2 linked regions of the Ovis aries genome follow. The protein of the gene in region 1 purifies or fractionates together with the protein of each later gene. This does not show direct contact. Links are inferred from orthologs where the notes say so. Each region holds a gene or a part of one and is shown in the gene's direction. Other genes may lie near its edges.

Region 1 (3,519 bases):
AAGACTCAGCAGTGGCCACAGGACTGGAAAAGGTCAGTTTTCATTTCAATCCCAAAGAAAAGCAATGCCAAAGAATGCTCAAACTACCACACAGTTGCACGCATCTCACACACTAGTAAAGTAAGGTTCAAAATTCTCCAAACCAGGCTTCAGCAATACATGAACCATGAACTTCCAGATGTTCAAGCTGGTTTTAGAAAAGGCAGAGGAACCAGAGATCAAATTGCCAACATCTGCTAGATCATCAAAAAAGCAAGAGGGTTCCAGAAAAACATCTATTTCTGCTTTATTGACTATGCCAAAAAAGATGTCCTTTTTGGCATCTGTGGATGGAGACTGTGTGGATCACAATAATCTGTGGAAAATTCTGAAAGAGATGGGAATACCAGAGCACCTGACCTGCCTCTTGAGAAACCTGTATGCAGATCAGGAAGCAACAATTAGAACTGGACATGGGACAACAGACTGGTTCTAAATAGGAAAAGGAGTACGTCAAGGCTGTATATTGTCACCCTGCTTATTTAACTTATATGCTGAATACATCATGAGAAACGCTGGGCTGGAGGAAGCACAAGCTGGAATCAAGATTGCCGGAAGAAAGATCAATAACCTCAGATATGCAGATGACACCATCCTTATGGCAGAAAGTGAAGAGATCTAAAGAGCCTCTTGATGAAAGTGAAAGAGGAGAGTGAAAAAGTTGGCTTAAAGCTCAACATTCAGAAGACGAAGATCATGGCATCCGGTCCCATCACTTCATGGCAAATAGATGGGGAAACAGTGGCTGACTTTACTTTTTTGGGCTCCAAAATCATTGCAGAGGGTGATTGCATCCATGAAATTGAGACGCTTACTCCTTGGAAGGAAAGTTATGCCCAACCTAGAGAGCATATTAAAAAGCAGAGACATTCCTTTGTCAGCAAAGGTCCGTCTAGTCAAGGGTATGGTTTTTCCAGTAGTCATGTATGGATGTGAGAGTTGGACTATAAAGAAAGCCGAGCACTGAAGAATTGATGCTTTTGAACTGTGGTGTTGGAGAACTCCTGAGAGTCCATCCTAAAGGAGATTGGTCCTGGGTGTTCATTGGAGGGACTGATGCTGAAGCTTAAACTTCCATACTTTGGCCATCTGATGTGAAGAGCCGACTCATTTGAAAAGACCCTGATGCTGGGAAAGATTGAGGGCAGGAGGAGGAGGCGACGACAGAGGATAAGATGGTTGGATGGCACCACCGACTCAATGGACATGGGTTTGGGTAGACTCTAGGAGTTGGTGATCGACAGGGAGGCCTGGTGTGCATGGGGTTGCAAAGAGTCGGACACAACTGCACTGAATATTGTGTTCTCTTCTTTGTTTATGTACAGTAATTAGAAATTAATAGATATTCTGTTTATTTTTTGAAAAAAGCAGAGTTATCTACATCAAGGACTTTTTCTTTTGGCTTGGTTATTCCAGCCAAGCAAGACATTGATGTACCTAATAGTAGCCACCTAAATCCTTAGGAAAATACTTTCAGCTTCTGTGAGGCTAGCTGAGCCACTCCCAGCACACAGAATGACAGGAAATCAGTTATCTTTGATCAAAAATGAAAAACCCACAGCTTAAATGTGTTCAGAAACAGTTAAGTAGCAAATGAAGGAAACTGAAATTAAAGGATGTTGAGGAAACATTGTTGTAAGAGAAGCTTTTTTCTCTATCATTTCCACTGATGTTCAGTCTAAAAACTACTGACAATTAAAATGTTAAATCTGATCATGAAAATATTTATCAGAAGATGATTTGTAATCTAATGATTTGCTATCAAAGCAGATATAAATTATTCACCATGTTTTGTTCATGTTCCCTGAATTTTATAGAGAGGTGATGTCACTGATATTAGTGCTGAGACAAAATCATTCTTCTTAAACTTCTGAGTATTTGAAGACTCACTACCAAATATTGATATATGGTATAATAAGGTTATGGTGGATGAAGTACTGAACAGTGAGTTTTTTTTCTGTTCTCTGTTTTCATGTTTACTGTAGCATGTTAAATGCTTGTACAACCTCTCAAGAAGTAACCCAAATATCACAAGAAGCACAGAAAATGTTTGAGAAACTTGAGAAGTCCACAAAGCCTGTTGTGGCTGCCATCAATGGATCCTGCTTAGGAGGAGGACTTGAGGTACAGATTTCTTCCAGAGTCATTGAACCGCGGGCCAGCTCATTGTTGGGATCCACCAGCTGCAAACCTTTAGGCCACTGTTTTGCCTCAAGAAAAGCTCTTGAGGGCGAGTCAGCTTTTTCTGAGTCATTAAACTTCTGGATAGGTTTTTAGTCTTAGTCTCATGGCATTGAGCAAGCAAATCAGAGTGGCACGTTTTCATTTATAAATTGAGAAGAGTTGAACTAGATCCCTACGTTCCCTTTCAGTTCTAAAAAACCTTGTTCAAGTTTGCAAGGCAAAAATTCAGAAGTGCAGTTCATGCTCTTGAGCTACTTTAGTTGAGACAGTTAGCATATAGTGTATGTCATGTGTTCTGCGTGTAGTAAAGATGATAAATAACACAAGGTCTGAGAGGAGAGATACTTACCAGACTGGAACACATAGAAAAGAAGGAGGGAGGAAAATAAGAACATTTTTTGGACATTTATCACGTGCTGGGTTCTATACTAGCCACTTTCACACATTAATTAAGGAAAGCTGTGCTGCTGCTGCTGCTAAGTCACATCAGTTGTGTCCAACTCTGTGCGACCGCAGAGATGGTAGCCCACCAGGCTCCTCTGTCCCTGAGAGTCTCCAGGCAGGAACACTGGAGTGGGTTGCCATTTCCTTCTCCAGTGCATGAAAGGGAAAAGTGAAAGTGAAGCTGCTCAGTCATGTCCGACTCTTCGCGACCCCATGGATTGCAGCCCGCCAGGCTCCTCCATCCATGGGGTTTTCCAGGCAAGAGTACTGGAGTGGGTTGCCATTGCCTTCTCCCAAGGAAAGCTGTATATGGTTCTAAAAGATAAGCAGAATTTGATTAACCAGAAAACAGTGGCAAAACATTCCACATGTGGCATGATGTGAGCAAAGACAAGGATAACAAAGCCTAATTAGGATACCATAAGTAGGCCTGCTTGACTGAAGAGTCTTTATAGGGTATAGGGCTTCTAAACCTGAAATACCTATATAATTGTATGTGCATTTTTCTATTGAAAATTTCCATACTTTTCAGCAGATTTTCAAGGGGATCTGCAGCCCTAAAGAGTTTAATAACTTAGGAAAGAGAAATGAAGGAAAGCCAGAAAGGTAAATTCTAGAAAGCATCAAATGCCAGCCTAACAAATTTCAGTTTATTCTGTGGGCACATTCCTGCTTAATAAGTAATTTTTAGACCCTCACATATCCTAAGATGCTATAAAACTACATTTTTTAACATTCTAATTTTCCTTCATTTGTTTGAAGCTTGCCATTTCATGCCAATACAGAATAGCAACAAAAGATAAGAAAACAGTATTGGGTTCCCCTGAGGTCTTACTGGGAATCTTACCAGGA
Region 2 (2,302 bases), on another chromosome or scaffold:
TGCTCAAGGGCTGCCTAGCCAACCAGGCCGACCTGGACGCCGAGTGGAGGAACCTTCTGGGTGAGCCCCCACTGCCGCGACTGCCCTCAGGGGCCTGGCCCCCAGAGCGGGTGGTCCCCGAGGCTGGGGGGCAGGGTTCCCTCTGAGTCTCCCAAAGGAAGGTGCCATGGCCAGCTGCCCGGAGGGCGCCCTGGGGGCCAGGTTCCTGTCCTTGCCCACTGAGCGAGCATGCCGAGGTGTACACGTGAGACGCACGCAGGGCGACCCACGCCTGAATTACCGTGGGCGTTGCTGCCAGGGGGTGAGCCGGCTGGCATGTGCAGACTTGAGGTGGGTCTCCAGACACACGCGCCAACATGCCTGCAATTGCGTGTGCATCTGCTCGTGTGAGGTGAGCCAGCACGCATCCGTATCGACCCCCGTGGTGACACAGGCCAGCACACATACACACCGAAACACACACTAACGTGGACGTGTGATGGCGTGAGGCAAACGTCGTGAGACTGAGGCGACGTGTGCACACAGTGGGCCAGGTGTGTGTGTATGTGCCGACGGGTGTAAGCTTAGACACACGTGCTCAGCCTGTACACACATGCCAGCACACACCGGAGCTCACGTGTAGGTGGGTTGGCCTGCAGTGAGCAGACACACAGAAATACTGCGGGCTGACATGCCTGTGCGTAGCACAGCCATGGGCCAGCGTTCGGCCATGCAAAGTACCCCGTGTTTCTGTTCACGCTGGCCAGACTCCATGGTGCTCATCACGGACAAGTTCTGGGGCCCGTCGGGTGCGGAGAGTGTCATCGGCGGCGTGCACTACTGGCTGGCAGAGGCCGTCAACGCCCTCCAGGACAACAGTGACACACTCACGGCCAAGGTGCGGCGGGGGGGGGAGCAGGGGGCAGGGGGGGCCCGGATGCGGCCTCGCGCCCGTCAGGACCCCTGCGTGCTCCCCTAGGTCATCCAGGGCTGCGGGAACCCCAAGGTGAACCCCCAGGGCCCTGGCCCCAAGGAGAAGTGGCCCCGGGGCAAGCTGGCGCTGCAGGAGAGGCCGCCCGCCGGCACGCTGCAGAAGCTGGTGAGTGGCCTCTGCTGGGCGGGCCCAGGGTGGAGAGGGCAGGGCAGGCTGGGGGGTGCGTCTGGTGGCCTGACCACTGCCCGCAGGTCTCCGAAGCCAAGGCACAGCTCCGAGACGCTCAAGACTTCTGGATCAGCCTCCCGGGGACGCTGTGCAGCGAGAAGCTGGCCATGAGCTCAGCCAGTGACGAGCGCTGCTGGAATGGGATGGCCAAGGGCCGGTGAGTGTCCCGCCGTTCTGGCCCCTCAGCTTGTCCGTGGCCCCGGGTGTGTCTTGCCCTGCACCAAGTCTGATGTGGGACACCCCGCGGGACCCAGAGCCGGGACGAGGGCCAGGTCCCCACCGCGCACACACGCTCAGTGCTTCCACGCTCTGCTGCAGGGGCCTGTGTGGGCTCCTGGCAGCCCTTGAAGGCCTCGGGAGATGGGGAGGGGGGTCTCGGACTTGCCACTACCCTGACTGGAGGAGCGAGGGCTGGATGGGTGTTGCTGGGGCCAGGCCCCTTTGTGGGGAGCAGGACAGTGACCCAGGGCTTGTCTTTCTGGTCTCCAGGTACCTCCCCGAGGTGATGGGTGATGGCCTGGCCAATCAGATCAACAACCCCGAGGTGGAGGTGGACATCACCAAGCCGGACATGACCATCCGCCAGCAGATCATGCAGCTGAAGATCATGACCAACCGCCTGCGCGGCGCCTACAGCGGCAACGACCTGGACTTCCAGGACGCCAGTGAGGGCGGGCAGGGGGTCGGCAACGATCTGGGCCTCCAGGACGCCAGTGAGGGCGGGCGGGGGGTGGGCAATGACCTGGGCCTCCAGGACGCCAGTGAGGGCAGGCAGGGGGTCGGCAACAACCTGGGCCTCCAGGACGCCAGTGAGGGCGGGCGGGGGGTGGGCAACGACCTGGGCCTCCAGGACGCCAGTGAGGGTGGGCAGGGGGGTGGGCAACGACCTGGGCTTCCAGGATGCCAGTGAGGGCGGGCGGGGGAGTGGACAACGACCTGGGCCTCCAGGACGCCAGTGAGGGCACCCGGGGTGGGGGTACCAGGGAGCCCCAGCTGGGAAAGGGTGCAGGGTCGGGGGAGGCCCTAGATAGGGAAAGGTGGGCGGGGGGGGGGCCCCACCCCGGGGCCCAGGTGGCTCTGAAGGCCCGGCTGCTGCCCAACTGTGGTCCCGATCCCCCACCCTGTTTCCAGGACGGCTGTGAGCCAGCCAGCACGTCCGCC

What was found. The genes of interacting proteins can lie anywhere in the genome.
Region 2: the proteins of HADHA (region 1) and GPC1 purify together in Homo sapiens (co-immunoprecipitation; 3 studies listed by BioGRID and IntAct, with this or other methods). This does not show direct contact. The link is inferred for Ovis aries from reciprocal best matches to the Homo sapiens genes HADHA and GPC1.

The regions. Positions count from the first base shown.
Region 1 is NC_056056.1:33,449,962-33,453,480, reverse strand, and holds part of HADHA (trifunctional enzyme subunit alpha, mitochondrial), read left to right. Parts: intron 1-2,024; coding exon 2,025-2,163; intron 2,164-3,429; coding exon 3,430-3,519. UniProt on the Homo sapiens protein: Mitochondrial trifunctional enzyme catalyzes the last three of the four reactions of the mitochondrial beta-oxidation pathway.
Region 2 is NC_056054.1:1,107,771-1,110,072, reverse strand, and holds part of GPC1 (glypican-1), read left to right. Parts: coding exon 1-60; intron 61-746; coding exon 747-877; intron 878-958; coding exon 959-1,078; intron 1,079-1,164; coding exon 1,165-1,298; intron 1,299-1,630; coding exon 1,631-1,812; intron 1,813-2,302. UniProt on the Homo sapiens protein: Cell surface proteoglycan that bears heparan sulfate. Binds, via the heparan sulfate side chains, alpha-4 (V) collagen and participates in Schwann cell myelination.